Arabidopsis thaliana: one gene and its partner. The protein of the gene in region 2 interacts with the protein of the main gene of each other region in a pairwise test. Each region holds a gene or a part of one and is shown on either strand. Other genes may lie near its edges.

Region 1 (6,381 bases), on a different chromosome or scaffold from region 2:
TGATCGCTATTGTTTCTCTTTAATATGTTACTGTAGCTTAACAACTAGTAGAGCATGAGGAAATTTAAATCTAGGAACCATTGAGATACTAAGATCATATCAATCTTGCTAGTGATTAGAATGTTTGCTCAAGTAATGACTGACTTAGTTGTTTTTAATTCTGTTTCAGGTGTTTTGTTTCTTCGAAGAAGCAGTACCAGTGTTTGAAAACCTGTTTCATTTATCACTTAGCACTGAAGTAGATTTCTGTTGGAATGTTCTACCAATTCTGCTTGAGAAATCTCCAAATCTAAAGACTCTCACCATTCAGGTATGACCTAAGACCCCCAAAAGTATATTGGACAAACTAAAGAGTCAAAATCTTCAATCTCAAAATTCCTGTCTTTTCTAGGCTTTGCATTATACTACTAATCACTATGGGGATGAGAACACTGTTTGCGATTGTTTGGAGGTGTATTCTTTCTTATCGTCCTGCCATATTGAGGTTCTAAAGATAACCCAGTTCAAGGGAGATATCGGAGAGATGGTGCAAATAAAGCATATCTTGGAGAAATTGCCGAGTCTTGAGCTGTTGGAAATTCATGGTCAGGTAAAAGGAGATGACAAAAAGCTGCAGATCATGTTGGATCTCCTAATGTTCGAAAGAGCTTCGTCTGAATGCAAAGTCGAGGTCAAGTTTCCAGTTTGTTTTGCCTCAGCATGAACTTCCATATCTGATAAGAGAAACAAATGAGCTTCCGGTTTGTTGTTGACATGAGAGCTGGTTTGTTTAGTGTCTTTCTTATCCATGCAATTTCTGTATATAACAGCTTGACATTTTTGTCATCTTTGGCTCCTTGTTGTGTCGTTTCTTCGTGCCTAATTCACTTGAGTTTGTAAGAGAGATGCTATAGCTATTAGCTATCAGCTACGTTAGGTCTACTATGACTCATTTGTGCTGTATGTTATTGTTACTTTACAGTTTACACAGTCTATTTGACAATTTGGTAAATGGGATATGATTTGACTGATGTTGTTTGTTTCGGCTCTAGTAACATTGTAGTTTATATGTTTTATCAACGAGCTAAAAATATCTCAGTATATGCAATGCGCAGAGAACTAGAACAAAGCTTGATTTAAAAAAGAAACACATCATAAACCAACATACACAAGAACTAGATGATTATGGCTACAAGAGACTAAAGTTGTTATATAGATTGTGTCCAGAGATACAAATACAATACACACGAAGTCATTAAGCATTGACACTCAATTGTTACAAAACCCGAAACCATCACACATAAACGTAGCCATAGTCAGATAATGAGAAGAGAAACACAAATACGTAGCCATAGACAGATAATGAGCAGAGAAATATAGTTGAATCTCTTTTTTTTCACCTAGTAAATAATGAAATTGCTAACAAAAAAGGGATTTTATTTGTATTTTAGTCAAATAAGTAATCTACATAGTATTTTTGCAAAATTTTTTGTCGGGATGCATTTAGATCAATTTGGTATCCGCCCATTTTAATAATTTTGTTCATTGAGTCTTAGTTGGGTCGGTTCAAATAAAACTCGATTCTAGACCTGTTTTAAAAACTTTTACAACGGATATTTCCAGATTAAACAATATTAATAATTAGAAGATTTGGTTAACATTTAAAACTATAAATCTTCTTTCATCTTTGTTTGAATTTTTTAACTGTTTTAAATCAATATATAAAATTAAAAATAAATCTCAAGTTTTTATCCTACATATATTGTGATTCGAAATTTTAAAAATGGACATATGTTATCTAATGGACGAAAAATGTGTGGGTTCACGGTTCACCGTTTCACATCAGCTAAAATTAAACAATGATTTAAAATCATATCATAAATAAGTTCAACATTAATAAAATAAATAGGTTTTTTGGCTAGACGAATTTAACGAAACGGGTTTTTAAATCAACATTAATAAAAAAGTAATATATCATTAATTCACTGTTTTAATACAGATTAAATCCTTAATTTATTATTTTTAACACCACCAATATTAAACATATCAAATCAGTTTGAATAGAAAATATTGTATAAAACAAAAAAAAATGTTCCGTACTATAATGTTACTTAATAACAATTATAAATTATAAAATATAAATATTTCAAAAAATAATATAATTTGTAAACTTTTATCCATAATAAATAGCCATTAAAATTTAAAAATTACTATTTTTAGAAAACAAATTACGAATTAGAATAAGAAATTACAGAACATGATATATTTTGGAACAGAATAATATGGCGAACGATTTTGAATAAATATTTTTAAAATTTTAAATAATATTAATATGCCATTTTAATACTAGTTAAATCTTCAATTTACTATTTACGATTGTCTCCTGAACACCTGTTATACCATTAGTAAAAAAACGGATCCATGACCGATTGACCACGTTCTCGTCTTCCCCCAAATCTAAAACCCTAAATTCTCAATTGCTCGTCACACTTCGTCACTCCACCAGCGACAATCGCCGCAGAAACCTCTACGAAACTTGCTACAATGGAGTTTTCATCACAAGACGACGATTTTGGAGGAGACGATTCCGCTGCTAATGCCACCAGGGCTTCAGGTCCCGACATTAATGGATTTCTCTTAATTCATGGTTTTTGTTTAAGGTTGGATTGGACATTAATTTCTCATCTGTATCATTCAGGTAATAGAAGAAGCTTCGGTGATCTTGAAGACGATGAAGATGATATTTTCGGATCAACAACGGTAGCGCCTGGTGTTAGAACTGGGATGATTTTGTCTCTCCGAGGAAGGTTATTATCCAATCCTTTCTTCATGTATGAGAAAAATCTTTGATGTATAATTCTAACTTTCTTTTGCTTTTTCTCTTTGGCAGTCTTAAGAATTGTAAAGATGATCTTGCTTCATGTCAAGTAAGCATTGTTACTGTTCATCCCTAATCTGTTTGAATTCTATACCATTGCTGTTTATGGTTGCTTCGCTTTTGCATCTAACTATATCGTTTTGGTTAGAATGAGCTCGAGTCAGCAAAAACAGAGATTCAGAAGTGGAAGTCAGCGTTTCAGAATGAGTCCTTTGTTCCCGCTGGAAAATCTCCTGGTTAACCTCTCTTTCTCAATTTTGTTTTGTACATTTGTATATGCGATGTTAATTCTTGAGCATTCAATATGATTCTGTTTGGTACTTTTTTTTTTCCAGAACCAAGATTTTTGATTGATTATATTCAAAACCTAAAATCTTCTGAGAAATCTTTGAAAGAACAGGTTTGTACTTGAGTAATAACTTGTGTGTATATATCAATATGAAGGTCTTGATTTTCAAATAAGGTTTGGTTGTTGTTTCTCTCTTTTCAGTTAGAAATCGCAAAGAGAAAAGAAGCGTCATGCATTGTACAATATGCGAAACGGGAACAAGAAATGGCAGAATTGAAGGTAATTCTCGAGAAACTCATTGCCTACCACTTTGATTCCTGACTGATGCTATCACATGTTTTCTTGACCATTACATAGAATAGATGTCGCTAAACACAGTCTTGTATTTTGTATTTCTAGTCAGCTGTTCGCGATTTGAAATCTCAACTCAAGCCAGCGTCAATGCAGGTATATAGTTCTCCCAATGTTTTGATTCTGGAATAATTTATACAATTGTGCCAACAATACAAATCGTGAAAAAAGTTAGCTGTTGAAGTAACTTGGACTTTTCTAGGCATAGTCCGCTTTTTATGCCGTAGTGTACCTTTTATGACGGTCATCCTCGACCTTGATGCATGTAGAGGGAAACCTTTTCCTTGCCTTTTAGATTTCAGTCTGAATACGATGATAAGCGCATGTTTCTTGTAAACCTTTACCTGGCATCTGAATTATTAACAAGTCTGAATAGAAGAAATGGCTATAAATTTTGAATTGCAATGGTCATTTAGCAGCTTGTCATGATCAGATAGCAGTGTAGATTATTTATTCTTTGTTTACCTTTGTAGGCGAGGAGGTTGTTACTGGATCCAGCAATTCATGAAGAATTTTCACGTCTGAAGGTCTGCACCTACTCGTTTCTATTTACCCTTAGACTACTTTTTCATAAGGATGTATTTGTCGTAATATATCCTTAGATAATCCAAACTGTATCTACGGAACAAAATTCCGCTTTCGTTATGAATGGCCTGAAAGAATAATTCCTTAATAACTGATAGCTGACACTGTCGTAGTAGATACAGTTGAGGACGAACATTCCCAACTTTTTGTTAATGTACATTTGTTGCAGTTAAGTAAAGAGTAGATGAAGTTTGATTCCATGTTTCTATTATGCAGAATCTAGTAGAGGAAAAAGACAAGAAGATCAAGGAACTCCAGGACAACATTGCAGCAGTTACTTTTACTCCTCAAAGCAAGAATGGAAAGATGCTTATGGCAAAGTGCAGAACCCTGCAAGAGGAAAATGAGGAGATTGGGCACCAAGCTGCCGAAGGAAAGGTATAGTTTGTTCTACTCTCAGTCTTCAATCTGGAATTATATGAATTATATAGTAAAGCAGTAGTCTTCTTCAACCTTTGTAAAACATGATTCCCTGAAAAGGGTAAAGAAATTGATGCTTGCCTATGTTCATGTGGAATGGCAGATTCATGAACTAGCAATAAAGCTTGCAATGCAGAAGTCTCAAAACGCGGAACTTAGAAGTCAATTTGAAGGTAAGTCATATGTTGATATTAAGTTATAGCAAAGATTTTTGTAGAGTTTGCAATTTGGATTTGAGGATTTTTGTGGAATGCAGGACTGTACAAACACATGGAGGAATTAACTAATGATGTTGAGAGATCAAATGAAACGGTGTTGATCCTTTTCTCTTATCTCTTAATTCCTCAAGATTTTTCTTAAAACGGAAGAATGATTATGGTTTTGTTGGAAATATGTGACTTTGATAAATCTCAGGTGATAATATTGCAAGAGAAACTGGAAGAGAAAGAGAAGGAGATAGAGAGAGTAAAGAAAGGACTGGAAATTGTGTCTGAGCTAGTAGGTGACAAGAAAGATGAAGTTGATGAAATTGATGAAGATGCAAAAGAAGAAATTGCTGGTGGAGAATAGGAATTTGTAGCTTTCAAAAAATGTTTTGTACATTTTGAAGTTCAAAATCACATTTCTTCATTCGTTATCTGTTTCATGAAACAGAAAGTTCTAATCTTCATCTTCTATTAATATGTTTTAATTCGCACCATTGGTGTTTCGATATCGATATGTGGCTTCCCGATATAACTCGTGAAGAATTTGAACTCGTCAACTCACGCAAATCATCTGAGTAGATATCAGATTAGACCAAAATAAGTGAGTCCAATTAGTTTTCCCCAAAAACATTCACAGAGGTCACGACTTTAGGTTAATCTGTTGCAGTTGTCACGAACGAATTCAAAATCCAAAGGAGCGGGAAAAACGAAGTGACGTGGAAGTATCTTAGCGAAAGCATCTCTCTCTCTCTCTCTCACAATCCATCATCTTCATTAATCTGATCAAATAATAGGGTTAATCAAAAGTCCAGAAACCAACACAGTTCAATTTTACGAAACCTCTCAGAAATGGAGAAGTACGAGAAGCTAGAGAAGGTCGGAGAAGGAACATACGGGAAAGTCTACAAAGCGATGGAGAAAGGAACTGGTAAGCTTGTTGCTCTGAAGAAAACTCGTCTCGAGATGGACGAAGAAGGTATTCCACCAACTGCTCTTCGTGAGATCTCGCTTCTCCAGATGTTATCAACATCGATCTATGTTGTTCGATTACTCTGCGTCGAACATGTTCATCAACCATCAACCAAATCTCAATCTACCAAATCCAATCTCTATCTCGTTTTCGAGTATCTCGATACTGATCTTAAGAAATTCATCGATTCGTATAGGAAAGGACCTAATCCTAAGCCTCTTGAGCCTTTTTTGATTCAGAAGTTGATGTTTCAGCTTTGTAAAGGTGTTGCGCATTGTCATAGTCATGGTGTGCTTCACCGTGATCTTAAACCGCAGAATCTTCTTCTGGTGAAAGATAAAGAGCTTCTTAAGATTGCTGATTTGGGTCTTGGTCGTGCTTTTACTGTTCCTCTTAAGTCTTATACGCATGAGATTGTTACTCTTTGGTATAGAGCTCCTGAAGTTCTTCTTGGATCTACTCATTATTCAACTGGTGTTGACATGTGGTCTGTTGGTTGTATCTTTGGTTAGTAGTCTCAATTATGCTTTTATGTTTTTGAATTCGTCTCTCTGCGATGTGATTTTGTATTTATGCTGTTTCAATCTTTGAATTTGTATAGCTGAGATGGTTCGGAGGCAAGCTCTTTTCCCTGGTGATTCTGAGTTTCAGCAATTGCTTCATATCTTCAGGTATTTTGAATTTACCTTCCATTACTTCTTCT
Region 2 (6,782 bases):
TACACTCCATCTTATTAATGATATTTGAATTTTAAATAGTAACGTAACTCTCATACTTTTTCAGTATGTAATTTTGTATTTTTTTAAACCAAATTTCAATCTTACAAATTCGATTTTGCAATACAATTTAAATACCTATTTTATCATAATAAAATATATAATTTAATGATATACACTCCATCTTATTGTTAGTTTTTTTATATAATTTAATTATATACACTCCATCTTATTGTTAGTTTTACATTTTAGATAAGAAAATTGTAAGTTAAATATTTAGATATAAATATATTAATTAGTATATATAAATATCTTTTTTTTTTAGTTTCCTATTTTCTTTTAGGAAAAAGTAAAAAAAAATCAAAAACATGTCAAAATCTAAGATCGTTCAAATAACCACGTGTCATGATCTCGTGAGTTAGTAACTTTCAAAACTGTACTTTATATAATAAGATTTGAATTTCAAATAGTAACGTAACTCTCATACTTTTTCAGTATGTAATTTAGTATTTCTTTAAACCAAATTTCAATCTTACAAATTCGATTTTGCAATACAATTTAAATACCTATTTTACCATAATAAAATATATAATTTAATGATATACACTCCATCTTGTTGTTAGTTTTTTATATAATTTAATTATATACACTCCATCTTATTGTTAGTTTTACATTTTAGTTAAGAAAATTGTAAGTTAAATATTTAGATATAAACATATTAATTAGTATATATAAATATCTTTGTTTTTTAGTTTCCTATTTTCTTTTAGGAAAAAGTAAAAAAAAAATCAAACATATGTCAAAATCTAAGATCGTTTAAATAACCACGTGTCATGATCTCGTGAGTTAGTAACTTTCAAAACTGTACTTTATATAATAAGATTAGATTGGAAACGTTACAATACACATGAGAAAATAAAAGTTTAAACTTCAAGAAGACACCATGCTCGACCCATAACCTACGACAAGATAAGGAAGGAATTTTCCGATAATACATTGTAAAAACCAAACAAATCTTGTCTCGAGACTAAACGAAGCTCTCGAAGCTCACCATAAAGACTTCCCGCACAACAAATTATGAAGAGGGGCTTCTTCATAACTTATGGCAATAACAAGATAGTGGAACTTGGCCTTCTCAATAAATGCTTCTTTTTCAATGAGTGCCTTTGTCAAGGGTCTTCCGGATGAACCGTAAGATAATCGAGAACCACTTAGACGTTTTAACGCCACAACGATCAATAAATTAAGCAAACCATCATCTGCTACACGATGAGAGAAAACTCAAATATAATCAAAGTGCTCAACCCCAAACTAACAAAGATTAACTTAGTCGGGAAGAGAAGATTAGCCCAAACAAGGGAGACGGAAGTCCAAACGAGGGAGACAATTAAACCTAATCCTCTGATGTTACCATATCTCACAGAGACGAACTGATCAGAGCAACAAGTCGACACAAAAGAGGAATACATGAGAGACATTGGAGATACCGAGATATCGAGGAGGCGATCCAATGTTGCACAGATGCAGCTTTGGGAGAAAAGAAACGAGCCGTCAAGAGAGAAGCAAAAGCCTCCAAAGTCCGTCAAGACTCAGCGAAGAGAACCACCCGACAAAGACGACGTTGTGACTCCACTCTGTGACCACCGAACAAGAACGATGACCCAAGAACACCCTTGACCAACAGATCCTATAGATCTGAGTACCAAGACCCAACCTCATTAAATCTGCCCCACAACACCCACTATTCCAAAATGTAGAGCCTCGATGCTTCCACAAACAAAGAATACAAAGACAAGAAATGAAAAACTATGCAGAGAAACAAAGAAGGTGACTGACGCTGGTGCTATTTGAGCCTCCACGCGCTGGTCACTTTGTGTTAAAGCAGGAAGACGAGAGAAAAAAATATTATTTTAGGTCAACCTTGTCGATTTTTGCGATACTTAGAGCTTCGATTTTTAGGGTTAACGGTTCACCTCTGCTATATTTTTTTTATCAGAATTCAACTCCAACAAACTAAATCACTTTCCGTGATAAAGAAAAGAAAAGTGCAAAAATTTGGATTTTGTTGATCCAAAATAAAATACAAAGAACTGAAATCTTAAAATCATATACTAAACTAGTTGTTATTTGTAAATTTCTTATAACCCTTTCTTACATTTTTAAATTACCCTACATATAACTTTTTCTTACATTTTTAAAATATCCTACAATTATCTAACTAAACACCCAAAAATATTTTTACCGTTTTATGTTATCAACTTATCATCGTGTCCGACAAAAAAAAAAAAACTTATCATCGTGCTCCTTTACATTTTTCGTGACCTAAAACTGCTACGACATCGTTTTAGTGACTTACTTGCTAAAACCCTTTTTAACTTTCTTTCAAGCTAAAGACCTGCACAAACTCTCTCTCGAATTCTTTTGTTTCGAAGCCATGGAAACTGAATCTGATGACGCCACCATTACCGTCGTCAAAGACATGAGAGTTCGATTAGAGAATCGAATTCGAACCCAACACGACGCTCACTTAGATCTCCTTTCCTCACTCCAATCCATTGTTCCCGATATAGTCCCATCTCTCGATCTCTCACTCAAACTCATCTCTTCTTTCACGAATCGACCTTTCGTAGCTACACCACCATTACCAGAACCCAAAGTTGAGAAGAAGCATCATCCGATTGTTAAATTAGGAACCCAACTGCAACAATTACATGGGCATGATTCAAAATCGATGCTTGTTGATTCGAATCAGAGAGATGCTGAAGCTGATGGGTCTAGTGGGAGTCCTATGGCGCTTGTTAGAGCTATGGTTGCTGAGTGTTTGCTTCAACGTGTACCGTTTTCTCCTACGGATTCTTCTACTGTGCTTAGGAAGCTTGAGAATGACCAGAATGCTAGACCGGCGGAGAAGGCGGCGTTACGAGATTTAGGCGGTGAATGTGGACCGATTCTTGCGGTGGAGACCGCACTTAAATCGATGGCGGAAGAGAATGGTTCTGTGGAATTGGAAGAGTTTGAGGTTAGTGGGAAGCCTAGGATCATGGTTTTAGCTATAGATAGAACTAGATTGCTTAAAGAGTTACCAGAGAGTTTCCAAGGGAATAACGAATCGAATCGGGTTGTCGAAACGCCTAATTCAATTGAGAATGCTACTGTTTCTGGTGGCGGGTTTGGTGTTTCCGGGTCGGGTAATTTCCCGAGACCTGAGATGTGGGGAGGTGATCCTAATATGGGGTTTAGGCCAATGATGAATGCACCAAGAGGAATGCAAATGATGGGAATGCATCATCCAATGGGGATAATGGGTAGACCACCACCATTTCCTTTGCCTTTGCCGTTGCCTGTACCGTCGAATCAGAAGCTTAGAAGTGAGGAAGAGGATTTGAAAGATGTTGAGGCTCTTTTGAGTAAGAAGTCTTTTAAGGAGAAGCAACAGTCTAGGACAGGTGAGGAGTTGCTTGATCTGATTCACCGTCCAACCGCTAAAGAAGCCGCTACTGCTGCTAAGGTGAACTCAGTTAACTATAGTCTTTAGTTAAATACATGCTTTTTTAATACAAAACTATATGTGAATGTAAATGTGAGTATATAAGCTTTCAAAAGGAATTGAGGAGGAAAACACATAGTGTAGTTCACAGCAGACTAGATAAGTTGTTGATCCAAAGCTGTGTTAATTTGGCGTAGATAGCGGATTAGATAGTGTATGATTCGTGAACAAGTTCTGGAGAAAGCTATTAGCCATCTTAGTAGTTAGTATCCATAGTAGTTTGTTATCAAGATTATAGGGGAGCAGATACTATGCCATTTTGTGAAAAGCAGTAGGGTGAAAAGCAAAGAGCTATATAACTTAGATGTGTGTTTCTTCGGTTTGGATGCTGATAGTGATGCTCCTATGTGGCCATATGTTCTGAAAGCAAGGAGCCTTCTATTGAAAATAATCACCTTACGGATCTAGATGCTTAATGTTTATAAGCGTGTTTAACTAGTTATCACAACACTTGTGTGTTTTGTCTCTCAGTGTGGGGTGGGGTTGAAAGTTTTTGATACATAGTTTCTACTTTCTAGTTTCAATATCGATGTAGCGAAAGCAAAGATCTCTTTCCACAAAACTTGTGTGTTTGTTGTGACTTTCTCTCTTGGTATCTTGTGAGACCTGTCACTGTTTCTAGCCTCAACTCTTCTAGGTGTTATGTTTTGTTAGTTTTCATTTCATCTTCTAATAAACAGCTTGGATCTTGTGATTGACTGTTATATTTTTATGTTCCTTACAGTTTAAAAGCAAAGGAGGATCACAGGTTAAGTATTACTGTAGGTATTTAACTAAAGAGGATTGCCGTCTTCAGTCTGGTTCTCACATAGCCTGCAACAAGGTTTGAACCAACTCAAATTTACAATGTACATCTTATTTGATAGGAAATTCAGAATGTTATATTGTTAAGAATTCCATAGCGAACAAATTAGGATTGGTTTGCATGTCAAGTTTTTTGTTTGTTATTTTGTGAGGTTTATATTGATCTCCTGCTATGGTGTCTATGTTGCTTTGCTGAAATCTACTTAGTTTTTATGAATTCTGTATACTTTCAGAGACATTTCCGTCGACTAATCGCTTCACATACTGACGTTAGCCTAGGAGATTGTTCCTTTCTCGATACTTGTCGTCACATGAAGGTAACTTTTTTTTGGTCACAATTGTGTGATAGTACTTCGGTTAAGTGTAGATATATGGTAACAGAGCAACCATTATTTTGAATTTGGACAGACTTGCAAATACGTGCATTACGAGCTCGACATGGCTGACGCTATGATGGCTGGTCCAGATAAGGCATTGAAGCCTCTACGTGCTGATTACTGTTCTGAAGCTGAACTTGGTGAGGCACAATGGATTAACTGTGACATCCGTTCTTTTCGAATGGACATTTTGGGAACCTTTGGAGTTGTTATGGCGGATCCACCATGGGACATTCACATGGAACTTCCATATGGAACAATGGCTGATGACGAAATGCGAACTCTTAATGTTCCCTCGTTACAGACTGACGGTTTGATTTTCCTCTGGGTCACTGGTCGTGCTATGGAACTAGGCCGTGAATGGTACTTAGAAAAATCTCAACAAATTTTGTGTTCATGTGCTTTTCCACTCTAATGGAGTTTTTTTTTTTTTTTTAAGTTTGGAGCTTTGGGGATACAAGCGAGTGGAAGAGATCATATGGGTAAAGACAAATCAACTTCAACGTATTATTCGAACAGGAAGAACAGGTCACTGGCTCAACCATAGCAAAGAGCATTGTCTGGTTGGAATCAAAGGAAATCCAGAAGTGAACAGAAACATCGACACAGATGTGATTGTCGCAGAGGTTAGAGAAACAAGCCGGAAGCCAGACGAGGTTTGTCCATAATTACCCACATTTTTCCAAATCGTTTCGAATTAGTATGATTCTGGACTCTTGTGTGATGAGAATGCTTGTCAACCACCAGATGTATGCAATGTTAGAGAGGATCATGCCAAGAGCAAGAAAGCTCGAGTTATTCGCCCGTATGCACAATGCTCATGCCGGGTAAAGTTTTTGACCTTTTAACTGTCATATGATATTGTTGTCATGAATCTTATGAGTCTACTGTTGGTTATAGATGGCTATCACTTGGGAACCAGCTTAACGGTGTCCGATTAATAAACGAAGGTCTTCGAGCTCGGTTTAAAGCATCATACCCTGAAATAGATGTCCAGCCACCATCACCACCAAGAGCCTCTGCAATGGAAACAGACAACGAACCAATGGCTATTGACTCAATCACAGCTTAGTTCAATTCCAAAAAAAACAAAGCCAAATGTCTCAGCTTTGTTGGATTCATGTTGCTTTCGTTTTTGAAACATTTGTGGCATCATGATTTTGTAAATCTTTATGGAAAGTTAAAAGGAAACAACATTAACGAAATTTGAAATTTTGCTTATTCGCTCCAGTACTTCTCATCATCAACATCTTTATCATGTTCCGACGAATCCTCACTGTCCGATTCATTGACCAAACCCATCTTGAATCTCCTCACATCTTCAACAGCAGCATTCCTAAACAATCCAACATCAACAGCTCCGGCGACCATATGGTAACCACGTCCCCGAATCTCACCAGCTCCGTCGTGCGGCATCGCGAAACCCGACAAGTAAGCCCCGCCTTTCGCCGGATCAGTGGTCAGCACAGATTTCTCAGCCTTCTTCATCATCTCTCTCACTTTCTTATGTCCAGGATCCCACAAATACCCTAAACTCGCACTAAGATCCAACGGTCCCATTTGCACACAGTCAACACCATCAACGGCTGCGATTTCATCAGCTTTCTTCACTCCTTCACCTGATTCCACCTGGCACATAATCAGAATCTCCTCTGCGTAATTACTTAAATACCCTTCATCGATTCCGTAGTTAGAAGCTCTCACCACCGTGTGCGCCGATCCACGGATACCGTCGGGAGGAAACCGGCAATACGACACCGCTTTGGTAGCGTCTTTACGAGATTCGATCATTGGGAACATGATTCCTTGTGGACCTAGATCTAGAGCTTTTTTAGCCCAGGTTGGTGAGTTTTCCGGTAATCGGAGAATGGCTGATGTTCCGGCGGCGTTAAGAGCTCGAATACAATCCAAAGCTTCCGGTATACCTCCGGGACCATGTTCCATATCAACGACGACGTAATCGTAACCGGCGTGAGCAGCGATCTCGGCTAATGTCGGCGAGAAGGAGAGTAAAAAGAGACCGTAGAGAGTTTCTCCTCCACGGAGACGAGATTTCA

Evidence for each region. The genes of interacting proteins can lie anywhere in the genome.
Region 1: the proteins of MTA (region 2) and FIP37 interact in binary tests that used the Arabidopsis thaliana proteins (3 or more experiments, as listed by UniProt).

The regions. Positions count from the first base shown.
Region 1 is NC_003074.8:20,054,325-20,060,705, forward strand, and holds FIP37 (FKBP12 interacting protein 37), read left to right. Parts: upstream 1-2,339; 5' UTR 2,340-2,523; coding exon 2,524-2,593; intron 2,594-2,677; coding exon 2,678-2,786; intron 2,787-2,869; coding exon 2,870-2,906; intron 2,907-3,005; coding exon 3,006-3,093; intron 3,094-3,192; coding exon 3,193-3,257; intron 3,258-3,347; coding exon 3,348-3,425; intron 3,426-3,545; coding exon 3,546-3,593; intron 3,594-3,970; coding exon 3,971-4,024; intron 4,025-4,298; coding exon 4,299-4,460; intron 4,461-4,605; coding exon 4,606-4,675; intron 4,676-4,758; coding exon 4,759-4,814; intron 4,815-4,916; coding exon 4,917-5,072; 3' UTR 5,073-5,259; downstream 5,260-6,381. Other genes in the region: AT3G54160 (RNI-like superfamily protein), read left to right, coding at 170-310, 392-703; CDKB1;1 (cyclin-dependent kinase B1;1), read left to right, coding at 5,558-6,185, 6,280-6,349. UniProt on the Arabidopsis thaliana protein: Probable regulatory subunit of the N6-methyltransferase complex, a multiprotein complex that mediates N6-methyladenosine (m6A) methylation at the 5'-[AG]GAC-3' consensus sites of some mRNAs.
Region 2 is NC_003075.7:6,618,962-6,625,743, reverse strand, and holds MTA (mRNAadenosine methylase), read left to right. Parts: upstream 1-2,362; 5' UTR 2,363-2,431; coding exon 2,432-3,505; intron 3,506-4,268; coding exon 4,269-4,367; intron 4,368-4,581; coding exon 4,582-4,665; intron 4,666-4,756; coding exon 4,757-5,088; intron 5,089-5,164; coding exon 5,165-5,381; intron 5,382-5,472; coding exon 5,473-5,552; intron 5,553-5,625; coding exon 5,626-5,797; 3' UTR 5,798-5,927; downstream 5,928-6,782. Other genes in the region: AT4G10750 (Phosphoenolpyruvate carboxylase family protein), read right to left, coding at 5,944-6,782. UniProt on the Arabidopsis thaliana protein: Catalytic subunit of the N6-methyltransferase complex, a multiprotein complex that mediates N6-methyladenosine (m6A) methylation at the 5'-[AG]GAC-3' consensus sites of some mRNAs.